Macaca mulatta: one gene and its partners. The protein of the gene in region 2 binds, or shares a complex with, the protein of the main gene of each other region. Links are inferred from orthologs where the notes say so. Each region holds a gene or a part of one and is shown on either strand. Other genes may lie near its edges. The genes, in order: RGS8, GNAI3, GRM4, TRPC5 and RGS10.

Region 1 (6,043 bases), about 90 Mb from region 2:
GGAAAGGGTCAGGGGCAAGAAAACAGGCCATTGATTCATTACCTGCGTGGCATCAGTAAGGCCGCCATACAGGCATCCGCTTACGGTTAACCCTTGGGCTGGTTTGCAGGGACGTCAGGGCAGCAAATAAGACTGCGGGGCTCAGGAATTTACCCTTGCACGTCCTCTCACCTAAAATCAAAGAATCTGCTGTAAGAGGGGCCACCCTCTCTCATCTGACTGCGCTACATTTCCTCTCAGACAGGTTTCCGCCAGCAGAACACCTCCCCACACACATCCCCCCAGGCCCCACAAATGTCCACTTGTCCTTAGTGGGGGCGACAAACCAAGGATGGACAAGAACAAATTGTTGGTGGCTTCATGTTGTTGATTATTGGTTAGGAGTTCCTGATTCCCCAACCACTGGCCATCAAAAATAAAGTGGGACGTGTGCCTCAGGGGAGGCGTGGGCCTCGCAAACCAAAAATTACTGTTCTCTTTCTCTTACTAAAGTGGGGCCCAAGTGACCAGCCAGCGGGGTTGGAGGAGGGGGTCAGTACTTGCTCCAAAATAATCTGATTGGATGCTGCTCTGATTCTCGCCTCCCTCCAAGGGCACCTGTCCCAGGTGGGAGTGCGTGGAGACTCGGGAAAGTGGGAGTGGGAGGGAGGTTGGAGGAACTCCAAAAGAGGCTTGTCAGGCACCGTCGCCACACAGGCTTGCTCCTCTGCAGGGATCACAGGTGCAGGCTGAAGAAATGAATATGCAAGTCACCCTTTCTCGCCCATATGGAGCCTACATGACCTTCCTCAGTCTGGGGACTGGCCTATTCTTGACACAAAGTAGGAAGGACATGAGTGTGGGGAGACAGGGGTCATTGACGTTGAAAGCTGATTGACTCACAGTCTTCCTCTCCTGAGGGTCCCATTCTCAGTGCTTCAAACCCTTTGTTCCTGCAGAAGACCTCTGATAGGAAGAAACACGTGAGGAGAGCAGCCTATCCATAAAGGGCTCCCCTGGGGAACTCTGACACCAAACATAGAACCCATTTTAAAAGAAACCTAATTTAGATAGATAAGACTCCTATGTCAGCTACACCATTTAAATTATTTTTATATTACCGTGACTATTTCACAAGCACTTTTTAAAAATAGCTTCTTTAATAATACTACAATTAATAAAATTAAAAGATTGCTTTTTGAAAACTAGAAAAAATAATTAGTTAGACTGTGTATGAGGGCCCATCGTCATGGACTGTGTTCCCCGGCTGCAGGGACATTTCCTTAATCTTTCTCCTAACCAGGCTTACACCTAGACCCCAGGAGTCATGAAGTCAAAGCTTTTGCAGCTGTGACGGTCCCTAGAAGTCATGTTTGGGGCACCTAGGCCTCTTGCTGTGGGATATGGCCTCAGGGGAAGGGGAAATCCATGCAGGGACCTTTATTATCCTAGAGCCAAGTGGAACCAGAGACGACTACCCACCTACATTGCAGGCAAGGTCATTTGGGGCAGGGGTTCACCCAGCCTTCTGTCCCCACCTTGTCTCTCTTCCCATCCCACTGCCAGCCCACACTAGCTTGCCCATGCTGTTCAGATGCCTGTCTCTCTCCTTCAAATCCTTCAAATCCAGCACAGCCCGAATTGCTGCTCAGACCCTCCACTACCCATTTGATGCGCTCAGCCACAGATGCCAGTAAATAAGAATCAGCAGGACACTCTGACCCAGCTGCCTTGCCCATCCCAGCACCTCAGGGCTTTTATCCCATTTGGCCCTGGACTTCTGAGAGTTAGAAGTTACCCAAAGCCCAGGAAGTTCAATGGTGTGATTGCCCGCACAGTGCATGTGCCCTCATAGATGGGCATCAAGTCACAGGTGCGTCTGGGGCAGACAGGACGAGACATAATGGGAAGAGGGGATACTCAAGAAAAAACAAAGGTTAAAAGCAAAGAGCAAAGATTTATAAAGAGGGGGAGAGAAACTAGAGCCTCTGCGGGAAGAAAGCAATCAATATGCATGAAGAGGCAAGTTAATTAAATATGGATAATGCAATCGGTGCACACAGACATCCCGGAGAAGAAAGAGAAAAGCAAAGGCAATACTCACTGTCTTTGGCCAGTCCTCATGGCCTGAGGGTCTTTGCCAACTGGGTGGTCAGAGAGGCTGCGGGTTAAGGCGCTCTGGGGAAAAAGTAGATCTTTCTTTTAGCAGTCAAATCCTCGGCGAGTGAAGGGCATGTGTGCATGAACACATAGGCGCGCACACACACATATACACACACAGGCATGCACAACACACCTCCCACCACTTGAGCCAGGCAGCAAGCGGCCCCGCTGAAAGCTCTTCTCTCTGCTTGTCACATCCAGTAAATACTGAAGCAGCCTACACCCAGCGGGCGGTGGCTCAGCTCCCGGGCACGGTCTGCACGCCCATCCTCATTGGCAGGATGCAGAAGGTGCCCCTGAGCCGAGCTCAGCCTCACTAACCTGAAGCTCCTCTGGTTGCAGCTCAGGGAGAAGTCCCCACAGCCCACAGCTGCCTCCCTCTGCACCCAGAGGCTGTGCGGGGGGCAGCAAAGAATAGGTATTAACTCTTTCCAGTCACCAGTGAGCTGAAAATCAAGTGTCCAGGGGGCCCTCTTCTAATGAGCCCTGCTGCTGGCTGAAGGTTGGCTGCTGCACTGGCAGTGGAGAGCGTAAAGATCTTGCCCCAGACAGCTGCTGACAGCAGGAGCCACTCCAAATCAAATCTCCTAATGAGTCAGGAGGAGGGGGGCTGTCTTGCTGGGTGTGATGTGATGTGATAAATGCAGAGAGCAAGAAAGCTACAGGGCAGGTCACACATCTAAATTCCACCCCCTTTCTCCAAATTTCTATTGTGCTGCACTACCAAGCCAAACCACACAGCCCTGAAATCGCCCTCTCTGCCACATCTCAGCTGTGCCCCTTACTCTACAGAGGCATTTCTCCCCCAGCTCATCTCCACTCCCACCCTAACCAGCACCAACCACACCACTCCCCACTTCTTAATGAGAAATTTCCACCTCCTCTGCCTTCCCAAACATGCATATTTCCAACTCTATGCTCCTGCCTCTCACCTGGTTTTTCCTACAGTAGAAACTCACCTCTCTCCCTCATCCATCACCTAGCAACTTCCCCCTACTTGCATTTGTTATGGAGTGAGACTTTTTCCTTTGTTCTGCCCGATCTGCACATGATCCCTATTTTTCTGTCTTTTCCATTTTTTTTTTCTTCCAAACCTCCTTACCCACATGGGTCTTCACACTGCCTTCTTCAGTTCCAGAAGGAGGACTCTCTTCCTGCTTGCCCTAGTGTAGTGGGTCTCCAAGCATGGTCCCTGGACCAGCAGCGTCAGCATCACCTGAGAAGTATCAGAAATGCAAATGTTCAGGCCCCACCCCTAGACCTACAGAATCAGAAACTCTGGGGACAGTAATCAGCCTTCCAGGTGACTCTGATGCATGCTAAAGTTTGCAAACCGCTGCCCTGGGAGAAAGCTTGTCTTCTCATTATGCTCTAGGTCCCTAAGGCTGAGTCTATACTCCCTTTCAGGAACTAGCTCTAAAGACACATAGCCTTAGCTGCAAACCATTTCTGAAACCCAGAAGGCAGCAGAAATCTCAACAGAAAGTGATGGCTTTATAATAATGGAAATGAATTCCATTTTTTCATCCTTTTTAAATGTATAAAGCATTTTCATGTATTGTCACTCAACAATCCTATGCCATCGTCACAGAGGGTAGTATTATTATTCCCATGTTACAGATGAAAAAACCGAGGCCAGAAAAGGTGATGTACCTTTATCAAAGTGACGCAACGTGCCAGAGGAGGCACAAGAACCAGAAATTAAGCTTTATGACTCTAACAGCAGAGCTCTTTCTACTATATCATACCAGGACCCAGTCTTTCTGGGCAGATCTATTGGTGCATAACCTGAATTCTCTCAGTGAAATGATTCTGCCGCAACTACTCACTGCCTGATGATAAGATGAAATAAACATTCTGATGCTGCCTCCACAGTGACTCATTGTCTCTTTCTGATATCGTCCACAGTGCCCCTCTATTAAAGAAAGGGAACTTTGTGTTATAAAATGAGAGGCAAAAGAAAAGTTTCTCATTTCTTATTACCCCTTTCTTGAACCCTGTTGCTAATTGGGGTTTAGAACTTCAGCAGAAAGAGAACCCTTCATTTCTGGACATTTTCTTGGTACACTGCACCATAAGAAACTGGTACACAGATAAACTGATGAATAAAAGCCCATTGATAAGCACTCCCCTAATTCAAGATATGTTTCTAGAATAAGGTGAATCCACATAGCTAATGTTTAATGAGCAGTTAGTATGTGCCAGACACTATGCCAAACATTGCTTTGAGTTATCGATTTAATTTTCAGAACAAATTTACAAAGCCAACACCTTTATCACCCCTCTTTTACAGATGGAGAAACAGAGACATGTCATTTAAAAGTGGCAGAGCTAGTATCTAGCACCAAACCTGATGCTTCCAGCCTCTGCTCTGCTCCTCACTTTAACACAAACGTAGTGCCATCATAGGACACTTCCTACCAGCACTAAAACAGTAGAACAAAGGTCTCCTCCAAATCTCTTACTGCCCAGGCCACTATCCAGGGGGTAAAGGCCCCGAGGAAAGAGAGCAGGGCTGCAAATGGGCCTGAGTCACAAGTGGAAACTAATCAATATTAACCAGGCATCAGAATCTTCAATTAGCCTTTGGAGAAATAATATAGTCATAGGAAGTCAATAAGTCCAATGTTTAAAAAGAGCTATAGTAAACAAGAAAAATGTAAAAGAAGTAACAGGAATATAAAGAGCAGAAGGAAAAAAAGTGTGTGGACATGAATAATACAAGGAAACAGAACATTAAAACTAGTCCAAACTTTCTTTTTTTTTCTAACCAAAACACTCCTAAATGCCAAGGAGTAATCACAGAGGACCACAGTTTGAGAAGCACAGACCTAGCGCAGGCCCCTCTCCCAAGAGGACACCAGCATAATCTTCCAAAGAGGCCAGTGCATAATTTCAAGGAGAATTAAGCTGAACCTAAAGTTAAGCATTCTAGCATTGTCTTCTTTCCTGAAATAAATAAACAGAAAAGGCAAGCAGGGTTAAGTGCTCGTGAGAAAGGAATTCATCACCTTGGACTCTGTAGTCCCCAGGCTTAGAGCTCTGCCCCAGGAATGTAGAGCTCTGGGTTCTTTTCCGGCTACTGCTCCTGACTTGCTAGGTGGAGTTGGCACAGGACATCTCAACTGGCCACAACTCACGTCTCTTACAGGAACACAGTGATTGCAAGCCCCGCTCCTGCCTCTGGGCTGTCCTGCCCCCCTCTGCACTTCCCAGTCTATACTCACTTGCCTTGGGAAGCCCTGCCCTCTCCAGGCACCCACCACTCCTCTCCAGAATCAGTGCTTCAATCTTGCCTCTTCAGCTCTAGGCTGCTTTTCCAGAGGTTTGCTGGACAGCTCCTCACATCTCAGACCCTGCACGCTATACTGGCTCTAAATAGACCCTGCATGCCGTACTGTCTCTAAACAACTACCTTCCCACATCCTCCTTTCCTGCTGGGCTCCCTGTGTTTGCTTGTGGCATTACTCTGCCCAAGTCCCACAAGGGACCCTAACCGTAACCCTAACCCCAACAAGTACAGACATTTCTGGCTTCTTTTTCTCCATTCCCCTTCCTAAATTGGTTTTTAAATCTTGTCATATTTTTGAAATATTTCTCAACTTCATTCCCTCCCATCCATTGATGTTGACATATGAGAGGTTATTCAACCCCCAGCACCTGCACAACCCCTGCCCTCTCTTAAATAACTGATCTCCCTGCTGTTGTTTCTTTCTCTGTCTGCCCACAAACCTTGCCCACTACACTATTGCTGGAGTACCACTGAACAGATACCATAAAGTGGATCATCTGTGCAATCATCTTTGATGGGCCCCAAATCTAATATCCAAATGACTCCTTGTCCTGCCTGACAATGAGTTTGTCCCGTTTGCCTATCCCAGTTTTCTATCCCACACATACG
Region 2 (5,280 bases):
CCAAACTCCAAGTCTTACTTAAACCTAATTAATAAAAACAAAGTCTCAACTGTTCACAAACTTTATGTTCCACTCCAGATCAGTTTTAGTCCAATACTCTCTTCTGGGCGACTTACTTGGTATTCTGAGTCAACTGCTGAACTTCCATCAACAGCATCCTCAACTACCTCCTACAGTAAAAAGAAGACCTGCACTGCTTTGTGTTTTAGCTGATACTTAGGTCTAATGACGTATACATGCAAATTGTTACTCTGTGATCTGTGTTTGAAGAAAATGATAAAATTTTTAAAGGCTAAACTCTGCTGAACTGGTTTAATGTATAAGATCAATAGTGACTAGAGGCCTACATTTCCAGAGATGTTTTTGCCCAGAAATTGAAAGAAATAAGACACAGTTGGTGATTTCTCAATGTATGCTTGAAAGGAATTATCTCTTTATGACCCAACTCTTCCTTTGGGTTGATCTTGCACAATTCTTTTTGATCTTTGGTCATGACACCTGAAATGATGTAATCACAAGTTGGCTTTAATATAGGGTCATAATACAGGTTTTAGGAAGGCTAACATCATATATTTCACCATGGAAGTCTCAAGGGGAGACACACCAATAACTTCAATTTACTCCCCCATTTTCTCTACAAAGTCTATACAACACTGTGAAGTTCCAAGGTGGGCTTTTAGCACATATTAACATTTACAATATCATTCACTAAGAGATCAACATTTCATAAACATTACCTCATTAACTGAGAGGCAAGTAAGCAATTACACAATGCCTTGCATATGGTAGATGCTCAATAAATGTTTGAATAAATGGATAGTAGTTTTGCCTAGAGAGAAGAGGAAAAGGAAGAAATGATAGTACTTCATAACAAGATAACTACATGCCAACAATCAAGTAGGTGTGGCACCTTAATTAGATCTGGCTATTGATTATGGCATAAAAAGACAGGACAGTTAGGATTTGCCTAACTAAAGATTGATCTATATAACAACACCAATAAGAAAGTTTCCAACACTAAATAATGATCACAACTTTTAATTATAAGTAGATTACAAACCTTATACAAAGAAATCTCATTCTTATCATCTTATGAGTGATAATCCACGTGGTCTTTGCTGCTCTTGCTAAATAAATTCATCAGTACTAACGACAAGCAGCAAGTCTATTCTAAAAGCATTCAGAGCTGAACTGCTATTTTCCTGCACCAGGAAAAACTCTAGTTTAGTGTATTAGGATTTCAAGACCCTGACTGGTATCTAGTAATAAGTAAACCCTATGTGGATTTCAAATCCTGTGTAAGAGCTGGTTTCAGACCAAAAACCTGACAGGCTCTGAGGTAGTAGTTACATCTGTATGCAATAATGCCGAACATCACATTCTACATATAAGCATAATAACATAACTAAAGAACACATGGTATATTGAAGGAGAAAAGTTTACTCCTAATCTCAAAGGTCACAAAAGAAGAAAATAGGAACCAAAAAAACATTTCTAATATTTATAAAAGACCATTAACACAGAGACAAGCTGAGGCTTGTTTTAGAATTACTAATGCTGCCAGGCATGGTGGCTCCCAGCATTTTGGGAAGCCAAGGCGGGCGGATCGCGAGGTCAGGAGATAGAGACCATCCTGGCTAACACGGTAAAAGCCCATCTCTACTAAAAGTACAAAAAAAAAAAAAAAATTAGCCGGGCGTGGTGGCATGCGCCTGTACTCCCAGCTACTCAGGAGGCTAAGGCAAGAGAATTACTTGAACCCGGGAGGCAGATGTTGCAATGAGCCAAGATCACACCACTGCACTCCAGCCTGGCGACAGAGCAAGACTCCGTCTCAAAAAAAAAAAAAAAAAAAAAGAATTACTAATGCTAATGAGAAAGTTATTTGTATTAGAATACTAGAATTTTCTCTCTCTCAAACTATCACAGTTGGACTGGGCATGGTGGCTCACACCTGCAATCCCAGCACTTTGAGAGGCTAAGGTGGGAGAATCACCTGAGCCCAGGAGTTTGAGACCAGCCTGAGCAATAAAGAGAGATTCTGTCTCTACATATTTTTTTTTGGTAAACATTAGCCAGGCACAGTGGCATGAGCCTACAGTCCCAGCAACTTGGAAGGCTGAGGCAGAAGGATCACTTGAGCCCAGGAGGTCAAGGCTGCAGTGAGCCATGATCACACCACTCCACTCCAGATAAGATGACAGAGTAAGACCCTGTCTCTAAAAAATAAAATTTTAAAAACAAACCAAAAAAAATCACTGTTTAAATGTCATCTTACCAACCCAAAACACCTCTATCCCCATATTTCTGCACTGTACTAAGAACTTAATTGTACATGACACTACGCACAAATTACTTCAAGAGCCATGATAATACTTGCTCCATTCCATTCAACTGGAAGGGAAATTCAAACCAAAAAGAAGTGACACTGGGGAGAAAAACATTCCTATTTTAATATCAAAATGGCAAAACAAAACCATGTAACTAACCAAAAAAACTGGTTTTCATAAGTTCAATATTGTTACCCTATTAAACATTCGATATCTGTTTTGGTGAGTCTAACAAGCAGCTGAAAAGAATAAAATTAAAACAAACCAGTTATCACAGGAAAAATTTTACTGGGAGGCAAGTTACAATTTATTTTTGAATTTAAATTCCTCTAAATGGACACAAACATTTGATGCTATTTGGAGAAACAAGAGATGTTTGGGCCCCCATTCAGTTAAAATATTCAAACAATGCTGATAAATAGGTTAAGTTTCTAAACCAAGGAATACTGCCCAGAGGAATTTTGCCCTGATTAAGAGATGGTAAACTAAAACAAAAGATACTTGTATTTGGCACACCTAGCAAAAAGGCTAATGACTTACTTGAAGTATAGGTCTTTGAAGGTGAAATGCGTTTCTACAATGCCTGTGGTCTTCACTCTCGTCCGAAGAACATCTTGCTGAGTTGGAATGTAGTTAGACTGGGATATTCTATCCAGATCATTTAGATAACTAAATAAAAGACACACTTACTTTTACTTGGTGAAGCCAACCATGTGCATAGCAAATCAACAGACTAAATTAGTTCCTATTCTAAACCTGTTACTAGTTACTAGAGTGGCAAAACAGAATCAGATCTTCAGTATCATAGAAAAGATAAGAAGCCAGGCATGGTGGCTCATGACTGTAATCCCAACACTTTGGGAGGCCAAGGCAGGAAGATCACTTGAGGCCAGGAGTTCAAGACCAGCCTGGGCAACATAAAGAGACCCCTGTCTTTACAAAATATTTTAAAAATTAACTAAGCATGGTGGTGCACGCCTATAGTCCTAGCTAATCCTCCTACCCTTGAGTGAAGCAGGAGGATCACTTGAACCCAAGAGGTCAAGGCTGCAGGGTGCCACTGTACTCCAGCCTGAGTGACAGAGTGAGATCCTCGTCTCTTAAAAAAAGAAATAAATAATAAGAAAAAATACGAATCCAACATAGGACAATTAAAGTATAGAGTCTATATACATTAACAAAAGTAGGTTTTTTGTTTTCTTTTCTTTTTGTTGTTTTTTTTTTGAGACAGAGTCTCACTCTGTCACCCGGGCTGCAATGCAGTGGTGTGATCTCGGCTCACTGTAACCTCCATCTTCCAGGTTCAAGTGATTCTCCTGCTTCAGCCTCCTGAACAGCTGGGATTACAGATGCTCACCACTACGCCCAGCTAATTTTTTGTATTTTTAGTAGAGATGGGTTTTCACCATGTTGGCCAGGCTGGTCTCAAACTCCTGACCTCAGGTGATTCGCCTGCCTTGGTCTCCCAAAGTGCTGGGATTACAGGCGTGAGCCACCGTGCCCAGACACAAAAGTAGGTTTAATTCTACAGAATTAAACTGTGAAGGCCAATTTAAAAAATTAAAACAATAGGAACAGGAAATGTTTTTAGTAAAGAAAAATTCCTGAAATGTAATACTAAATTAACTGTGTACTGTATAATACCAAAACCAAACTATACCAAAAGTCCTCAGACAATTAAACTTAATAGGTCATGTGTGTTTAACTATTTGACAGGACATTAGAGAATGGTGTTTGATTTACTAAAATTAAGAGAACTATAGTGAGTAAGAATATTTTCCGTTTTCTTTCAATAAACAGAAGAGTTGGGGAGGTTTGGGGGTTTTTTAAATCTAAACCAAAAACAAATTGTAAATACCTCCAAAAAAAATTAATTTGTTCAGGGAAATAATTAAAAGACTGCTTCAAAACTATATTCTTTGCTGATTTCAGGCTAGAAAACTGATGAGCAGATGGCACCAATATAAGTGAATCATTAATGATCTATAAAACCAAATACTATCACTAATGTAAAGAGGCAAACTTAGATCAACTGTTAGGAAAATCTCTATAATGTAAGCACATGTAGTTAGAGGATTCAGAGCTTTCTGAATGAATGATGAAAAAAAGCAATTATAATCTACTTTTGTTGACCACTGGTAGAATTATTTAAGCTCTCAATACCTGCAACTAAAATATGTTATTAAAAGGTAGGCAAGAATCCTGAAACGTTTCTAAAGTCAAGTTCTCACTGAAAGAATAAGAAAGTTTTCAAATACAGTCATGCGCTGCATAACAATGTTTTGGTCAACAACAGACTCCATAAATGTATGCTAGTGATCCTGTAAGATTATAATGGAGCTGAAACACTCCTAGTCCCTAGTGACATCATGGGCCGTATTACCCTTTTATATGTTTAGAGATGTTGAGATATACAAATACTTACCATTACGTTACAATTGCCTACAGTATTTAGTACAATAACATGCTGTACAGGTTCACAGTCTAGGGGCAACAGGATATACCACAAAGCTTAGGTGTGTAGTAGGCTATACCATCTAATTCTGTGTATGCATAGTCTATGATGTTCACACAATGACAAATCACCTAATGATGCATGTTTCAGAATGTATCCCTGTCCTTATGCACAGCCTGACTATATCATTTAATTTCTTCTTGTAACAATTTAAGCTAGAATGATGATGTGAAAAGTAGGAAAACAATAATATTGGAGAAAAAACCTTAATGCTTAAAAGTACAAAGAGAAATACAGATAACAAGTGCTCACTAGGCCCCGCAAAAGTACATTTAAAAAAATACATTCTGGGCTGGGCACGGTGGCTCACTCCTATAATCCAAGCACTTTGGGAGGCCGAGATGGGTGGATCACGAGGTCAGGAGATCGAGACCATCCTGGCTAACACAGTGAAACCCCGTCTCTACTACAAATACAAAAAATTAGCCAGGTGTC
Region 3 (5,889 bases), on a different chromosome or scaffold from region 2:
GGAGGCAAAGGCGGCCGCCACTCAGCAGAAGTGAGATAACCTTCGAGCCAGCAGCCAGCAGGCCCAGCTGCCCAGGCTGCCAGTGCAGCCTGCCCACTGGAAAGCTGGGTTCTAGGCCGAGCAGAGGAGGACAGTGGGGTGGGCAGATATCTTGGGGTGGGTGGTAATTAGAGGCTGCCGGCTCCACACTTGTCTAGGAGAGAGGACACATCTATTGGCTGTAATTATTCAGTTCAGGAGTCTGTGGGTTCTGCTCCCATCTTTTGCTGCCAGCTGTCCCCCTGCGGCAGGGCGGGTATGGGTGTGGCCGCACATCCTGGCGCTGGACTGTGGACCCCTCAGGAAGTGGGTGGGGGCTGCAGAGCCCTTCTGGGCCTGAGCCCGGCCCTCTGACCCTTCTGGATAGCACACTGCTCAGTCCCGGGCTCACTCATTTGCTCGCTCGCTCTCTCACCTACCTCGGGCTGCCTGCCGCTGTGCAAGGCGCTCCCTCCCAGAGACGTCACGCCTCCAACGGAATGAAGCCGCCCAGACGCAGGTCGGGGGAGGAGGGAGGAGGGGGGGTAGGAGGAGCGGCCTACGCAAGGCCACTGAGGCCCAGAAAGCAGCTCAACTCCTGACATGCTCCCACCTCCCCTCGGCCTGCTCAGGACCTGTGCTTAGTGAGGAGCTACATGCCGCGCCCCCCCTCCCCCCCCCCCCGCAATATATCTGGCTCCTGAAAATGCCTGAGAATCCATGAGTAGAGTAGAGCCCTCCTTTGGGTTAAGCACTGCCATCTTCCTCTCCCATCTCTCTTAAATGCAGATGCCCCTGGAAAGGGTAGTCCCTGAAGTGGCTAAGGTGTGGGGTGCGAGGGGATAACTTTTAGGGTATTTTTGTCCCTGACAGCTGTGAAGGTATTGGCAGGTAGGCAAAAGCTTATGTGTAAAAGGACGGAAGTTGGAGGAACATGAGACAGTGGCCACCCAATTCACAAGCAGACATCACGTCCGGCCCAGGGCTGAGCAGAGGCTTGGAGGCACCATCCTCAAAGTCTCCTGCCCACCCCACCACAAAGACAGGATCTGACTAAGGGCTGGTGAGGCCTTCCAGGAAGTGGGAGAGGGGACAAGGCTCCAACCGCAGCCAGGCCCATTTCGAGGACTGGTTCAACAGTCCTCAGGGCCTACCAAGAAGAAGTGATGAGGCCCCTGCGCTGTGGGTGATCACACCCCGGAGTGCCCAGACGCCTCTGCGGAGTGCCTAGACGCCTCTCTAGTCCTCCCCTCTTCATGGAAGCTTCCCCCTACCTTAGGTCGGAAGGCCCTGAGGCCCTTCTGGACTCCGAGGAGCTGAGCATGCAGACCCACAGTCTGAGGCCCAGCATCCCATTGGGATCCAGGGGAAAGTGGGGCGAGCCCAGGACACATCCCGGGAGTGTGGGGAGATGGGAATGAGGGCATTCTTCACGTCCACCATTGGCTGGCCCCGGGGCGGGAGGCTGAGCGCTGCAGAATGGTAGGGTGTGGGATGGGGTGCTCCCTATGGAGACCCTGGGAGCACTGCCCTCCCCGCCTGCCCTAGGCCCCCACTCACCCCATAACGGACAAGGTGAGGGACTATGATGGAAACACACTCCCCTCCCTGCTTGTCACCTCGGGCTTTCTGCCAGATTTACACAGGGGCAGCCACCGCTCTGACAGACACGTGGCCTCGGGCACCCAGCTAGGCAAGCGCAGCTCAGTTGGTGTCCGGAAAGGCCGTGTTCTCCCGCGCCAGGGGCCGGGAGGGGAGAAAGAAGCAAGGCGCCTCCTCCAAAAGGGAATGAAAGTCTGAGGGCGGGATGTCACTCGGGGCCTAGGGGCAGGGGGCGCTCGTACGTTCGGGCCTCAGGACTCCCTGCCGCCGCCGATGCTGCTGCCCCATCTCAGCACAACAGCCTCAGACCGCCCTGGTGCGGGGGCGCCTCTCGCAGTCGGGGCCTCCACCTCCCGGCCCCACCCCCGCGCGGGGAGGAGACGGCTCCCACCTGCGAGCGCCGGGAAAGACCGACCCCGCAGCGGGGACCCCCAGCACACACGCGCATACACACATGCACACACAGAGACCACGGCCGGTCCGCTCGCCCGGCGGCCGCGTAGACGCGCGGGTTCATCAGGGTCCCGGGGAGGGACGGTCCCGAGTGTCCGGAAAGAGCCTGGCCCTGAAGTCCTGGGGCTGCGGGGAGACCCCAGACCCTGGAGAGCCCCACAACCCGCCGAGGCCACGGGCAAGCGGTTGCCGGGCTCCGGTCGGTGGCGAAGGCGGCGCTGGGGCGGGCACGGGAGCCGGACGCGGTGCCTGAGAAAGGAGCCCAGGCGCGCGAGGCTGGGTGCCCTCTCACCGGGAGACTGCCGGGAAGAGGTGCAAATAATGCCCCGCGCCCCCGCCTGTCCTGCCTCTCCGCAGACTGGGATGCGCTAATGCCGCCGCCCCCACCTGAAAGCTGGCACGACCCTCTATCCTGTGGAAGCCCCTGTATGCAGAGACAGTACTTTCCACCGGGCCCGCAAAAAAAGCCTCTGCCCCATTCCCTCCCTCAGGGGCATCCGGAAAGCCTGCCTTAGCCCCAAGGGGAGACCCTCTAGTTCAGGTCCCGAGCCCTCCGGCCCCTAGGGCTCCAGGGGCGCCGGCTCTCTTCGGGGCACTCCGAGCGCGGGAGCTCGCCGGAGGCCACCTCCCTTAGCCCCGATGTCCCCGCCGCAGCCCTCGCCCCAGGAGGCCGGAGGGCACGGTCCCCTCTGTCCGTCCCCCTCGGGCCACAACTCACCGCGCGCCAGCAAGGTTTAAGCCGCGGCGAGGGGTCGGCTGCGTGCCGCCTGCCCCGGGGGCGCAGGCAGGCGACAGCCGGAGGCACGGTTCTCGCGGTGCCCAGAGCCCGGGCCGCGGCGGGCGGCGCTGACGCTGCGGACCGAGCGCGCCGCGGAGCCGCCCGGAGTCCGGGACGCAGCAGGGATGAGCTGACGGCCGCCCGGCCGGAGCCGCCGCCAAGCGCGCGGCGTTCGGCTGCTGCTCCGGCAAGTAAGCAAGCGCGAGGGGGATCGGCGGCAACCCCTGCTCCTGCTGCGGCGGAGCCCGGCGTCCGAGCCGGAAGGAGAGGGAGAGGCGGCAAGGGGAGTGAGTCTGGCCGAGAGCTCCGGGCTGGGAAGGGAGCGGAGCGGGAGCGACCAGCGAGCGCAGCCGGCCGAGGTGCGGGCGCCTCGCGGCGCCGCGGCAGCGGCAACAGCAGCAGGAAAAAAAATGAGAGCGAGCTAGAGAGCGCGCTGGAGAGCGAGCGAGAGAGAGAGCGAGAGACGAGAGAGCGAGGAAGGCGCTGAGAGGGGAGGCTGCGGGAGAGGGCGGGAGCGCCGGGAAGCGCAAGGGGGCGAGGGAGCCGCAGCCGCTGGCCCCGGCGCCCACAGCAGCTGGTGCACCCAAGGAGGCGCGAGCCCAGCCCCGCAAGTTTGCGCTGAAAGTGCCGGCCAGGCTCACGGCGCTTCCGCCGGCCTTTTAAAGAGAGAGCACCTGGAGCCCATCCCCTACCCCACACCTCCACCTCCGGAAGGCCAGGGCTCTCGCGGCGCTCCGCCACCCCTCCACACCCGACCTGCTGGCAGCTCCCCTTCCACCACACCCCACCGGCGCCCTCTTCCGGAAGCCCCCCTCTTCCTCCTCCCAGTGCGCCTGCTAGCTCGCCTACCCCGAGGACATGGCGGGGACCCTTTCTCACCCCAGAGGGGGAGGGTCAGGAACATAGCCTCCCCAACACACACCCAGAAAAGTACAGCAAAGCACAGGGACGCAGAGGGGCGCGCTACTCCCACCCTGGTGCGTCACTGGAACCTCACACATCCGCGCGCACGTGTCGTATGCCCCCATGTGGCATGTTCATTTGCACACCCCACTGCTCCTGGTGCAAGTGTATAACAAGGGGAGAAACTAAGGCCCAGTGAGGTGATTCCATTTGCCCCAGATCTCACAGCCTGTCCGAGGGACACTTTCCACAGAGCCCCCTTACCACCTAAGAACCCCACCAGGCTAGGGAAACACCCCACCCGCTGGTCTCCCTCCAGCACTGGTTGGCAAAAGTGTAACAGGTGGCCTCCTGGTTGGCAGGCTGCAGTGAGACTTGGGAAGAATCCCTTAACCAACCACAGAGCCAACTCGCCTCCTTCCTGGAGGGGGCTTGAAAACTCAGTTGGTTAGAGGCAGGCAGCAGGGGAAGTGAGGGAGCCACTGCAGCCCTCTTAGGATTGCAAGAGCATCTCGCCCCAGACTGCAGAAGTGGCTTCAATTAGAGCCATGATGTGTGACTGTCCTTGTCCTGGGGAGGGCGCACAACACTGTGCCAGGGAGCTGGGGGAAGAAGGCGGCAGAACTGGAGAGGCTGGCCAGAGGCCTCCCTCCCCATCAGTACTTCAACCCCCAGCTGATCTGCCAAGTGCTACCTTGTGCTTGACGATGCTCAGGCCTGGCAGGACTCTGCCACCCTTACAGCTCAAACCTAATTTCTACAGGGGAAATTAGGTGAGGGGAATGTCTGGGAGGGTCTGTGAATAACAGGGACAGACCCCCACCGCCTGCAACGGGACTGCCCTTTCTCCCTCCTTGCCCCTTTTCAATGCTCCTGCCCCTTCCTGAAGACCTGCTCAGGCTCCACCTCCTCCAGAGCTCCAGACTATGCTAGGCCAAAACCACGTCTCGTTCAGCATCGTTTGGCCATGGAGCCTGGCACCATGCCTGAACGGTAGCGTAAGCTCAAGGATTGTTTGGTGGGTGAATAAATGTTGGCAAAGCTTGCACTCTCTTTGATGTCACATGTAATGGCCCAAATACATGTCTCATTTACCCAATCAGTCTGAAGTCTCTGAGGGAAGCACCCAGATTGTCCATTCATTCATGCTTTTTTTTTTTTTTTTAATGAAAACAACACTGACTGAGGTCCTGCTCCATTCCCAGCTCTAGGTGTACACACGTGACTGAACGCAATTCTGCCCTTGAGGAGTGCACCCCATGGTCATTCGGACCCCAGCACCACACATTTTGTAGAGATATAAGCAAAGGCCGTGAAAGTTCCTGCTGCCCAGCAGCTCTGCCCAGCCAAGTGTGCACTGCTCTGGGCTTGCAGGGAACTCAAGTTATTCCTGGAGAGGCCGTGTCCTTGGGAACAGCCTGCCTGGGTTCAAATCTGTGTCACGTGTGTGTGTGGGTCACATTACCCAAGGCCCTCAGTTTCCTATCTGTAGAACAAGGATTATGACACTAATCTCAAAGCAGAACTACAGGTATGGGGTGTGCATCGTTCACTGCCAAGAGGCCACCCAGTTGAGAGGCCTCAGGGCAGCTCAAATTCAGCCTGCCTTGGTCTTGACAAGTGACACATCCTGTCTTGTGGCTGTATCTGCCCAAAAGATGGGGTTCCTTTTTCTGATCCTCTCAGAGGTACCATATGGACTAGTGCCTGGGGCCCTGCTTACAAGGTGTTCATGAAAACAGAATGAAATAATGTACGCGCAGCACCTAGTCCTGTATTTAGGCACCCGTAAGTGGGAGCCACTGAAATTTTTAACAGAATCCTCAATATACTTTTGTTGAATGAATGAATGAATGAATGAATGAATGGACTAATTACAGTGACAATAACATGAGCCATGGTTTATTGAGAGATAAAACAAACCCAGCCACTCTCCCCACCCCCTGCCCCTCAGTGTTGCTTTCACTCTGGCCATAATTACCCCACCCCCCGCCCGCCACCAGCTGTGTCGCAGAAGGCTGGGCAGGCTATATTTTTCAGGGGTTAAAAAAAGAAACACTGTTGGCTGGCAGATGGCTGAGTTTGTGGACTCGTCCAGTTCGCAGGTTCCCAGCCTGAGGCCTAGCTCTTCCGGG
Region 4 (5,280 bases), on a different chromosome or scaffold from region 2:
TCACGTTTATAATTCCATGAATCCACTAGGGTTGTTATGTTATATATCTAACATAATTTACACATGCAATTCCACTGCCCCAATGAATATTAAAACTGCAACCTGAATTAGGTTATCTATACCTAGAATTGCCATTTTTATAAAGCAATTAATTAAAATGAAGATGCTCTTTTCTCATATTTTGACACTTCAGCAATATGCCATTTTTTTCTGATAAAAATATTTCAAATTCAGGCTTTTATCTTAGAAATTCTTTGATAGCTATGATAATTAAAACTATCAACAGTAGAGTAGGACCCAACAAATATGACAACTATTTATCTTGCCAATGTATGAGATGTGGTGACTATTGGTTAGAGTGTAGTAGACGTTTTTAAAAAACAGCACAAATTCTAAATACTAATTTTGATACTATCAAATTTTAAAATGTAGTAAGTTGACTGAAACACAAACACAGAAAAATAATTCACCTAACTTATTAGATATGACATATACTATGGGGTAAATATTTCATTGGCACACATTAGGAAACTAACACATCTTTAAGAAACAAGAAAATTCAACAGCCCTCACAATAAGAAGTTGTAGTATTTAAGAACGAAACAAGCCACTTATACCTAGAAACCACAAGCTGACAATTCTTTGGAATCTCTTCAGCCTCCCTTTGATGCTGTTCATTGACCCAGCATGGGCAGCGTGTAGCACTGAATGGCAACAAAGATGGGCAGGGTAGTTTGCCTTATCTGATAGCTGGTGGGGACTGCTGACCACATCCCTCAGCTCTGTGGGAAGATGGCATGAGATCCTGAGGATGGTCAGGAATCTGTGTAGCAGCAAGAGTAGCAAAGTGGCACCTGGGGCTTCAAGGAAGCATGGGTGAGAAAAGCAAAGCAAAAGGGTTAAGCACCCAACTGCACCTCTGCTGATTAGGTGCAACACCCCTTCAGTTGGTTGTAAGATGGACTTAGTGTGTACAGGTATTAAAAAGGCAAATAATAATGAAAGTAATAATAAAACAAGAACAAAAATGGAGAATGTGGCTATAAAAGATGATGCAAATAATAGGAGTTTCACTCTCCTTTCTTGGGGGCAGGGGCAGTGAGGGAATCATATTCTGTGTCACCTCTGAGAGCAAGGAAATTACAAATTTCTGTTGAGTTCCAAAACAGATGATTAGGGCTTGACTTAGAGGCGAGTTGTAACTTGTTCTTCCTGTCCATCACCCCATTTGTGCATGAGCAAGTCACAAGCCTCTCCCCAAGTTTCAAATACATCCTCTGAGGAGTCTAAAAGTTTAGAATTTGAGGAGCAGATGCTGGATGCACAGTGAAGAGAGCTGGAACAGGCTAGAGGGCATTCACTGCTCTGAGCAGCGCCCTGGACTTCACCTAATTCTACCTCACTGAGGTTAATTTCACTTTGAGAACAGGCCTCTGCTTTCCCTTTCTCCATCTGAGAATATCTGATGTCCTGCCACATACAGTGCTGCTGAACAATTCCATCAGAAATTGTGTACATTGGCTCTGAACTGGGTTCAGACATATGACCATTAAATTTGGAGAACAGGAGACCCAGTTTCTTGAGAGAAGGACCCATGAAGGAGCGTTTGCTTGATGACTCAGCTTTTGACTTTCCTTGGGCACCACTGGACCTTGGCATGGTTCTGATGAGAGGTGGCCCATGGCAAGCCTTTTTCTTGCAGCCTAAATTAAAAGAGACACTCTTGGATTTGGCTCGAGCCCCACCACTGCCATCATTAGTATCATCTCTCTGAGAGAGTTCAGTGCTGCTAGTGGAAAAGCTTCTCCTTGGGTGTTTTCTATTTCCCAAGAGGTCAAGCACTTCATACCGAAAGCTGGAGATGTCTTGCTTTAATTCCTAGGAAAAGAGAGGAGACATATTATGTCAAGAAACTTGGTCTTTATTTCAAAGTAGGCACATTAGATACCTTTGGAATGTTCCAGGTTTTTGCCTAGTAGTAAATCACAAAATAAAACACCAGAAAAATCTGCCATTATTCAAACACAAGAAAAACATATTAATAATTCCGTGGGCAGGGCTGGCCACTGGCAAAATTGTACAATGGGTAAAGTTGATTCAGGATTAGCTAACACTTTAGTAGGGATTAGTCTGTTGAGGCGCTTTCATAAGGACTAACTCCTGCTCAAGTATTAACTAACAAGGTATTAGATTAGGACACTGGCTCTCACAGGTGTCTGCATATAAAAGGACTACTGAAGAGGAAAAAGCTTTTAAGACTCTAACGAGTGAAACTAGAGAAGTGGAATGTCAGGTGATGAGACTGCTGTTTTGAGACAGGGGGCCCTGTTCAAACCTTTATGAAATGTCTTCTATCTCCAACTGAATGCTTACATACTAGACTGTTCTTTAAAAGCCAAGCTGAAATTTATTCATGTACTTCCCCTGCTCAAAACTTGTTACTAACTTGTCACTAACTTTAGGAAAAAATAGAAATGCCATACCATGGACTACAAAGTTTTTCAAGGCCTAGTACCTGTGCTTTTTCCAGTCTCATCTTTCTACTCTTTTCCTAGGCTCTCTGCTGTCCACCTGTATGGACATATTCTCCCTTGCCTCTGGGCCTTTGCCTGTGCTGTTCTCTCTGTCTAGAACACTCTTCTCCCCAGCTCCCCTTTATCTGGCTGGCTTTGCTTTCAAGCCTCAGCTTAAGCATCACTTCCATTGGAAAGTCTGTCTTGACTCCCCAAGTCCCAGTTGAGAGTCCCTCCTCTCTGTGTTTCCACAGTGGCCTGTGTTTAACCTGTCAGAATATACAATTGTTCATCACCCTTTATTATTGTTTGTCACTCCTTGAGAGTAGGAGCTGGTTAGATCTTGCTCACCACTGTACCAGAGCACGTAGAAGAGTGCTTGGAACATAGCAGACCCTCGGTAGATGAATTATGTCTATGAATTAGAATAATGGCCTTCCTGTGTGCCTTAGAAAATATAGACGTTCATGGACACAGGGAGGGGAACATCACACACAGGGGCCTGTCGGGGGGTGGGGGTTAGGGGAGGAATAGCATTAGGAGAAATACCTAATGTAGATGATGGTTTGATGGGTGCAGCAAACCACCATGGCACGTGTATACCTATGTAACAAACTTGCACGTTCTGCACATGTATCCCAGAACTTAAAGTATAATAAAAATTTTAAAAAAGAAAAATATATATAGATGTGTTCTAGGATAGGATTTCTCAGTCTTGGCACTATTGACATGTTGGGCTGGATACTTCTTGTTGTGGGAGGCTGTACTATTTATTGTAGGATGCTCAGTAGCAACCTTGTCTTTACTGTCTGGATACCAGTGTGACAACCAAAAGTATCTCCAGACATTGCCAAATGTGGTTTTGGGGACAAAATTACCCCTGGTTGAAAACGGTTGTTTTAGGCTAATGCCACTAGTAGAATTTTAATGTTTAATGGTAGAGTTTCTTAAGACCTTATATTTAATAACAGATTTATTATTATTTTTTAAAATTATACTTTAAGTTCTAGGGTACATGTGCACAACGTGCAGGTTTGTTACATATGTACACTTGTGCCATGTTGGTGTGCTGCACCCATCAACTCGTCAGCACCCATCAACTCATCATTTACATCAGGTATAACTCCCAATGCAATCCCTCCCCCCTCCCTCCTTCCCATAATAGGCCCCGGTGTGTGATGTTCCCCTTCCCAAGTTCAAGTGATCTCATTGTTCAGTTCCCACCTATCAGTGAGAACATGCAGTGTTTGGTTTTCAATAACAGATTTTTTGATTTTATATCTTTTAAGTAAAGAAGATCTTTAAGTCTCCAGGCATCTTCCCTTTGCTATCTTGTCCCTCACCACCATGCATCCTTGCCACATCATTTAAAGCATTCAATTTCCACACTGAGAAACACTCAGAATATTAAAAGAACGCATACAGCAGATTTCCTTCTTTCAGGACACTGATTGTGGTGTGACATACATTGGTAAAATCTCTCGGTCTACTGGATGAGAGACAATTCTAAGAGAATAAGCATTATAACTGGGTTTGCTATATCGTAAGCAGATGAAATTCCATCACCAGAAACCTCACACACTGTGAAGATTAAATGATGCTTATGATATGTAAAATGAGAAACCACTTCATGATTAAATTACCTTAAAATTTTCTTCTGTTAGCCCCTCATTTGTTTTGGAATTTCTTATCATAGCAGCCACATATCTTTTGACTAAATTCCTGATAACTTCCTGGAATTACAAAACATGAAGAGGCATTCAATCTCCTTCTCAGGCTCTCAGTACAATAAGAAACTTACATAGGAAATAAAACATGCTTAGACCTCCTTTCCAGTGGAAAATCCTCATAGGATCCAGCCTTTTACTATAAAAAATGAGTTAAGTCCATTGGCTAAACAACTATTGTGTCTCTGAATTTAGTGTCAGAATCAAATTCACCCTAAAGGAAAATTTTTTACCCGAGCATAAGGTAAACATGTATTTCCAGTGGAATAATTCTTGCATGGTCATATAGTTAATATTATTTTCCTTTAGGATGGATTGCACGTTAACACTCCTAGTAAAATGAGAGTTTTATTCTCCTTTTATAAAATTGAGAGAATTTTCTTCAGAGTCACTAAGTCTGCTGATTTTAATGTCCACTAATTACATAGTGAAGATATTTTTCTCATAGTCAACCTACACTTCTCCTATACAGGAATGTCCTCTTTTCACTTAGCTCCCAGGGGAGTAGTCTGCACGTGGTCAGTACAGTTTGTATTAGTGATGGTGATGATGATAGCTACCGCTTATTGCAATGTGTCAGGCAACACATGCACATAATACATATTATACATACTCATCACTCAATTTTCACAACTCTGTAAGTTAAGTTTTATTACTATCCCCATGTTACAGATGAGGAAGTCAAGCCTCAATAGGCTGACTCATCCAATGTTACACAACTAGTAAGTGTCAAGATTAGACTTTCATTCTACTTCAGTCTGATTTTAAGGCCAATGGTATTGCTGCTTCTACTATGTGTACTTGAGGAACTCACTGAGATGTGCAGGAATCATTTTTTTTTTTTTGTTATCGTTGAGGGCTATGAAGCAGAACATGAAGACAATGAATCTTATTTAAGGTTTGTTATTATAAAAGGAATAACATTTGAAGGCGGGAGTAGGGAGAGGAGGTTTACATACAAAATACCGTACTTTCTGCTTCTCTTTGTTAGTTATGGTCTAAGGGGAACAAAGTTAGGAGAAGTGACCTATAGAATAAGG
Region 5 (5,793 bases), on a different chromosome or scaffold from region 2:
GGCAGATCACGAAGTCAGGAGTTCGAGACCAGCCTGGCCAACATGGTGAAACCCTATCTCTACCAAAGATACAAAAAATTAGCCTGGTGTGGTGGTGCACACCTGTAATCCCAGCTACTCAGGAGGCTGAGGCAGGAGAATTGCTTGAACCCAGGAGGTGGAAATTGCAGTGAGCCGAGATGGCGCCATTGCACTGCAGCCTGGGTGACAGGGCAAGACTACGTCTCAAACAAAACAAAACAAAAACAAACAAACAAAAAACCACAAAAATTAGGTGGGCATTGTGGTGTGGGCCTGTAGTCCTAGCTATTCAGGAGGCTGAGGTGGAAGGATCGCTCGAGCCCAGGAAGCAGAAACTACAGTGAGCTGATACTGCATCACTGCACTCCAGCCTGGGTGGCAGAGCCAGACGCTGTCTCAATAAAACAAAAAAACAAACAAAATCATAAAAAAAGAAAAGAGGCCCAGCGCAGTGGCTCATGCCTATAATCCCAGCACTTTGGGAGGCTGAGGCTGACAGATCACAAGGTCAGGAGTTCAAGACCTGCCTGGCCAACATGGAACACAAAAAATAGTTGGGCGTGGTGGCACGCAGTGGTAATCCTGGCTACTCAGGAGGCTGAGGCAGGAGAATTGCTTGAACCCGGGAGGCGGAGGTTGCAGTGAGCTGAGATTGCACCACTGAACTCCAGCCTGGGTGACAGAGAGACTCCGTCTCAGGGAAAAAAAAAAAGAAAAAAAGAAAAAAATGTTACAACCAAGGGGGAAGGGGAAGCAGGTTAAAGTAAGTAAATACATACATACATGCATACATACATACATACATAAATGTTACAACCAGTCTAGTAATATTAGAAGAAATAAATACTCTTTCTCAATAGCAAAACAGGTTTACTTCTGAACTTAAGAATAAAGCAAAACCAAGATTTCCCAGGTGCCCAACTACTGGTACCTGGATCCACAAAGTTCCAATATTCTTCTATCCCTTTTCATTGATAAAAGCTTCCGATTCAGACAGATTACACAAGAAAGCAGGACTGATATGAATAGGTGGAAAAAATGTCAAGCATGTTCTCCAGCAGTTTTACGATCTCTCCAGCTAGGGAAGACCTGCCTGTGATATTTGTTTGTTTCAATTTTATCATGCTGTTTGATTTTTGTTGTCATTGTTTACTTCAGCTGTAAAACATTTTTGCAATAAAAGTTTTGAATAAAACTTTTGAATAAAAGTTTTTGGTGTTTTGTTTTCTTAGCTTCTAGGCTCTTTAAATCATTTTAGATCTTCAAATTTTTTGCATGCAAAATGCATATTTTTCAGCAAATTTATTTTCAGACTAATCTGTCATTAGCTAATAATAATGGTTAATACTTCAAATGGGCCAGGCATGGTGGCTCACACCTGTAATCCCAGCACTTTGGGAGGCTGAGGTGGGTGGATCACTTGAGGCCAGGCATTCAAGACCAGCCTGGGCAATATGGCAAAATCATGTCTCTACAAAAAATACAAAAATTAGCCAGGTGTGGTGGTGCACTCCTGTAATCCCCAGCTACACGGGAGGCTAAGACAAGAGAATCACCTGAACCTGGAAGGCAGAGGTTGCAGTGAGCTGAGATTACACCACTGCACTCCAACCTGGGCAACAGAAAAAGAATCTATCTTTAAAAAAAAAAAAAAAAAGGCTAGGCGCTGCAGCTCATGCCTGTAATCCCAGCACTTTGGGAGGCTGAGGCAGGCGGATCATGAGGTCAGGAGTTCAAGACCAGCCTGGCCAACACGGTGAAACCCCGTCTCTACCAAAAATATAAAATTAGCCGGGTGTGGTGGTGGTGGCCTATAGTCCCAGCTACTTGGGAGGCTAAGGCAGAAGAATCGCTTGAAACCAGGAGGCAGAGGTTGCAGTGAGCCGAGATTATGCTACTACACTCCAGCCTAGATGACAGAGCGAGACTGTCTCAAAAAAAAAAAAAAAAAGGTTGGCACAGTGGCTTATGCCTATAATCCCAGCACTTTGAGAGGCCGGGCGGATCACGAGGTCAAGAGATCGAGACCATCCTGGCCAACATGATGAAACCCCATCTATACTAAAAATACAAAAAATTAGCCAGGTGTGGTGGTGCACGCCTGTAATTCCAGCTATTCGGGAGGCTGAAGCAGGAGGATTGCATGAACACGGGAGGCGGAGGTTGCAGTGAGCCGAGATCGTGCCACTGCACTCCAGCCTGGTGACAGAGCAAGACTCTGTCTCAAAAAAATAAAAAGAAAAAAGAAAAACTTGCAAATGATGTACAACGTGCTGGGTACTGTTCCAGGCTTTTACCTGAATTAAATAATTCAGTTCTCACAATAACCTACTGATGTGGTTATTTCCACTTTGCAGATGAAGAAACTGAGGCACAGTAACTCACAAGGGTCCCAGCTAGAAAATGGGAAATCATGGCCCAAACCCAGGTACTCCTGCTCCAGAGTACATGCTCTTTACCAAAGGCTCTACTGCCATTTTTAGTTTTTATATCTGCTGATCTTTGTACTCAAAGAGACCAGAACACAACAGCCTTTAAGAGACCAAGAACAATCACACTTTGGGGAAAAAACAGAAAACTGGGTAAGAGTCCAATCCATGCAGGAAAAAAAAAGTCACATAAGACCAGGTGGAATCATCTAGCACACAAACACAATGTATATCCGTTTTCCATTTATGCTTATGCTGCCCTATGTGGCTTCTGGCGTCAGTAAAAGCCATTATTTCAAGGATGGGTGAAGCATCACAGTGCAGATGGCTGGGGCTGGTTGCTTGGAGCTTATTTTATGATGCATTATTTATAGATGCTATGATGTCATATCTAACAGAGACCTTCTCCAGACATTAATTCCTTAGAAATCCATACTCAAAAGGCATCTGTAACACTCATCAGAGATGAATGCTCACAGCATGGATTTCTGCTGTTAATCTGCAGGAAGGTCTGTGTAATTATCCTGCATAGACAATTTCTCCAAGTCAAATAATATTTTAGTAATATCTCACTATCCAGTTTCCTCAACAGCAGAGTCAACTTACATCCTCAGAAGGTTTGTCCTAAGTACTCCCTCAAACTCACAGGCTATTAAACATTCAAGTCCAGGAAAGGCAGAGATATTAACCCTAAATTCCAAAGTGGTTTGGTACAACTCACATGCACAGGCGTGCACCTTTAAAATACTCTATTTTGTAATGAAGTTTCAAAGAAAGTACACACCCCACAAAACTTATTTAAAACCTCTTGTCACCTATGCCACATCAAGTATATTACATTTTTTACAACGTCCTCCCAATTTGGAATCAGAGAGTCATTTTGTTACAACTGGTGATCTGTGTAAGGCTCCTGAGAAACTGGGTCATGGAAACATCGTATCTAAATATTACTTAAGTGTTTATCGGCTCCAGTATCTAGCTGCTGAGAATAACTACCCCACCTGCATGCAATTCCCCTGCTGGGGAGATTTGATTGAACCGCAGTTAGCAGGAAATAACATCAAAAGTGAAAAAAGTTTTTCAATAATCATAGTAATAGCCAGCATCCAAGTCAGGAGAAGGAAAGCAGGTGACGGAGGGTTGGCTCCACTCAGAAAGGGCATCGTGGCGTTTGCACACGAGGGCACAGGCCTCACAGAAAGCCAAGTGTTCCTTTTGGCCCTTCCAAAGTCACCTGTGCACCTCTGTGTCCTCACAGCACATTCTTCCCAGCCCCTGCCCCACCCAGGGCCAAGGCGACTGCCGACATGGAAAGGGGTGGGGGCCATTCCTTACGTTCCATGCTCTGGGGTCCACCTGAGAAGTTCCACGAAGACCAACAATCCACTGCCTTCCCAGAGACGCCTTGTGTGAGAAAGGCAGAGACTGGAGGGCTCCCCAGCACCCTTGGGTCCGAAGAAAAAACAAGCCTCAACATCCTCTTTTAAGTGGACTAAACAACAGATGGCCACTGGTTTCCAGTTTCTACCAGAGGGAAGGAAATAAGAACGCCGAACTGTTATTTGTAGCCTCCCTAGACTCTCCACTTTCTAGGCAAAGGCCAGAAAAAAGAAAACGGCCCAGCAGCCCTAGCCTGAAAACAAGACCCTGTCATCGATTTTCTCCACTTCCAGAAGCCCCTGTGTGTCCTCTGGGGCCTCACATTTCTGCGTAAAGCTGCCCTCACTCTCCTACTCTGCTCAATCTGTCCTGCCCTCCCTGGAGGCAAAGTAAATGACTTTTTCCTCCAAGGTCAGTCAGGTGGATGGTGCATTTCTTGAAAGCAAGGGCTGCGTCTTCCGCAGGGTCAGCATGATGTCTGGTACTCAAGTATATATTTTATAGTGATAAATATTTGCTAAGGAATGAGCAAAGTCAGGCACCAGGCTAAGGGTAGAGGGCACAGAAAGGAGGATGGATAGCTATTAAAAATAGTTGAGGCCGGGCGTGGTGGTTCACGCCTGTAAACTCAGCACTTTGGGAGGCCGAGGGGGGCAGATCACCTGAGGTCAGGAGTTTGAGACCAGCCTGACCAGTGTGGAGAAACCTAAAAATACAAAATTAGCCGGCGTGGTGGTGCATGCCTGTAATCCCAGTTATTCAGGAGGCTCAGGCAGGAGAATGGCTTGAACCCAGGAGGTAGAAGTTACAGTGAGCTGAGATCATGCCATTGCACTCCAGCCTGGGCAAGGAGAGTGAAACTCCGTCTCAAAAAAAAAAAAAAAAAAAAAAAAAAAAAGTTGACATTTACTGAGCACTTACAAGTCTCATCGAAACTTTACAACAATCCTTGGAAGTTGGTTTCCTCATGGGCCCCATTTTATACATCAGGAAACTGAGACACAGAGAGATAAAAAATTTGCTACAAAGAAGCAAGCAAGGAAGTGGATGAGCTGGGATTCAACCCCAGGTTGTCTGGCGGGAGAGAAAAACACAGAGAAAGATGCCAGAAATGAAAGGCGGGCCCATTTTCTCATGGAACTTAAAATGAATTGAGGAGAGGAGGCCAGACGTTCCCAGGTGGTCGCCTGCCCACAGTGCCACAGGCTGGTCGGAAGTCTTCTTCACTAGTCCAGGCATAAACGAGAAGGAAGACAAGGAAATATTTACCAAGTGAGCTGTGCTGGTAGAGTAAGGACAGTCTTGGGTTGCTTGTTTTGTTTTTGCTTTGAAAAAGATCACAGTTCAGGACATACAAAAGGGAGTGTGGTGTAATAGTCTTCCTCACACCTCTGTCCCTCAGGTGCCCAGTGTCTCTCCCCAGGAGCGACAACCTCTAGAAGATTCTAGAGGATCTAGAATCCTCTAGATTCTAGAGGATCAGGACAGCTCTTTACCTGAGATTATATCTTTCCTACGATTGGAGGTGTTAAAATGTCCTTTTCTATGTGAAATGATAAAGGTGTTTGATGATTGCTTTGTTTGTTTCTAATGTCCTGACTAGAGAGAAGAAGGATGGGAGGAAAGAAGGGAGGGAGGGAGGAAAGGACAGAGGCAGGGAAGGAAAGGAGAGAGGGATGGAGGAAGGGAGGAAAGTTGTCAGCTCCACATTCATTCTCTAAATATATTTTAGCAAAGTCGCTAAATGGTTGTTGTGTTTAGGTGGCCGTGGACTTGGGTCCAAGACTTGAGTTCTCTGCCCCTTCTGCAATGGGTGGCTCCGGACAAGTCCCTGCCCCTTAGTGGCCTCCGCAGCCCTCCAGGGAGAAATGAAATGGTTCCCTCCTGCTCAGACAAGCTGCTCTGTCAAGTGCCAAGGGTGGGAGGCAGCGAGGCCTAGAAGGGTGGGTCTGCTGGAGCAGGG

Evidence for each region.
Region 1: the proteins of GNAI3 (region 2) and RGS8 are in contact, whole or in part, in a crystal structure (PDB 2ODE), measured with the Homo sapiens proteins. The link is inferred for Macaca mulatta from reciprocal best matches to the Homo sapiens genes GNAI3 and RGS8. Residues at the interface, in NP_006487.1 of Homo sapiens: Glu65, Gln68, Ser75, Val179, Lys180, Thr181, Thr182, Gly183, Ile184, Val185, Gln204, Ser206, Glu207, Lys209, Lys210, His213, Ala235, Glu236, Asp237, Glu238; in NP_001095920.1 of Homo sapiens: Thr76, Glu77, Phe78, Ser79, Glu81, Asn82, Ala117, Pro118, Glu120, Val121, Asn122, Ile123, Asp124, Phe125, Gln126, Arg128, Leu153, Lys156, Asp157, Ser158, Arg161, Arg164.
Region 3: the proteins of GNAI3 (region 2) and GRM4 are in contact, whole or in part, in a cryo-EM structure (PDB 8JD6), measured with the Homo sapiens proteins. The link is inferred for Macaca mulatta from reciprocal best matches to the Homo sapiens genes GNAI3 and GRM4. Residues at the interface, in NP_006487.1 of Homo sapiens: Ala31, Lys32, Val34, Lys192, Asp193, Leu194, Thr219, Phe336, Thr340, Ile343, Ile344, Asn347, Leu348, Cys351, Gly352, Leu353, Tyr354; in NP_000832.1 of Homo sapiens: Pro616, Lys619, Ala620, Gly622, Arg623, Glu624, Arg676, Ile677, Ile680, Phe681, Gln683, Gly684, Lys685, Arg686, Ser687, Val688, Ser689, Ala690, Ile694, Ser695, Pro696, Phe781.
Region 4: the proteins of GNAI3 (region 2) and TRPC5 are in contact, whole or in part, in a cryo-EM structure (PDB 8GVX), measured with the Homo sapiens proteins. The link is inferred for Macaca mulatta from reciprocal best matches to the Homo sapiens genes GNAI3 and TRPC5. Residues at the interface, in NP_006487.1 of Homo sapiens: Arg205, Arg208, Lys209, Trp211, Ile212, His213, Phe215, Glu216, Glu245, Leu249, Ser252, Asn256, Lys257, Trp258, Arg312; in NP_036603.1 of Homo sapiens: Thr27, Glu32, Glu33, Glu56, Ile57, Tyr58, Tyr59, Asn60, Lys125, Pro128, Thr129, Leu130, Met131.
Region 5: the proteins of GNAI3 (region 2) and RGS10 are in contact, whole or in part, in a crystal structure (PDB 2IHB), measured with the Homo sapiens proteins. The link is inferred for Macaca mulatta from reciprocal best matches to the Homo sapiens genes GNAI3 and RGS10. Residues at the interface, in NP_006487.1 of Homo sapiens: Val71, Val72, Ser75, Glu115, Val179, Lys180, Thr181, Thr182, Gly183, Ile184, Val185, Gln204, Ser206, Glu207, Lys209, Lys210, His213, Ala235, Glu236; in NP_001005339.1 of Homo sapiens: Glu62, Phe63, Ser64, Glu66, Asn67, Ala102, Ser103, Ser104, Gln105, Val106, Asn107, Val108, Glu109, Gly110, Leu137, Lys139, Tyr140, Asp141, Ser142, Arg145.

Annotation. Positions count from the first base shown.
Region 1 is NC_133406.1:40,135,715-40,141,757, forward strand, and holds the start of RGS8 (regulator of G-protein signaling 8), read right to left. Parts: upstream 3,398-6,043; 5' UTR 3,251-3,397; coding exon 3,245-3,250; intron 2,158-3,244; coding exon 2,084-2,157; intron 172-2,083; exon of another isoform or gene 69-171; coding exon of another isoform or gene 43-68; intron 1-42. UniProt on the Homo sapiens protein: Regulates G protein-coupled receptor signaling cascades, including signaling via muscarinic acetylcholine receptor CHRM2 and dopamine receptor DRD2.
Region 2 is NC_133406.1:130,619,153-130,624,432, forward strand, and holds part of GNAI3 (guanine nucleotide-binding protein G(i) subunit alpha-3), read right to left. Parts: intron 3,000-5,280; coding exon 2,871-2,999; intron 1-2,870. UniProt on the Homo sapiens protein: Heterotrimeric guanine nucleotide-binding proteins (G proteins) function as transducers downstream of G protein-coupled receptors (GPCRs) in numerous signaling cascades.
Region 3 is NC_133409.1:148,144,094-148,149,982, reverse strand, and holds the start of GRM4 (metabotropic glutamate receptor 4), read right to left. Parts: upstream 3,847-5,889; 5' UTR 3,731-3,846; exon of another isoform or gene 2,755-3,730; intron 658-2,754; exon of another isoform or gene 455-657; intron 1-454.
Region 4 is NC_133426.1:118,497,539-118,502,818, forward strand, and holds part of TRPC5 (short transient receptor potential channel 5), read right to left. Parts: intron 4,247-5,280; coding exon 4,157-4,246; intron 1,879-4,156; coding exon 1,186-1,878; 3' UTR 1-1,185. UniProt on the Homo sapiens protein: Forms a receptor-activated non-selective calcium permeant cation channel. Mediates calcium-dependent phosphatidylserine externalization and apoptosis in neurons via its association with PLSCR1.
Region 5 is NC_133414.1:131,631,216-131,637,008, forward strand, and holds the start of RGS10 (regulator of G-protein signaling 10), read right to left. Parts: upstream 3,856-5,793; 5' UTR 3,793-3,855; coding exon 3,786-3,792; intron 1-3,785. UniProt on the Homo sapiens protein: Regulates G protein-coupled receptor signaling cascades, including signaling downstream of the muscarinic acetylcholine receptor CHRM2.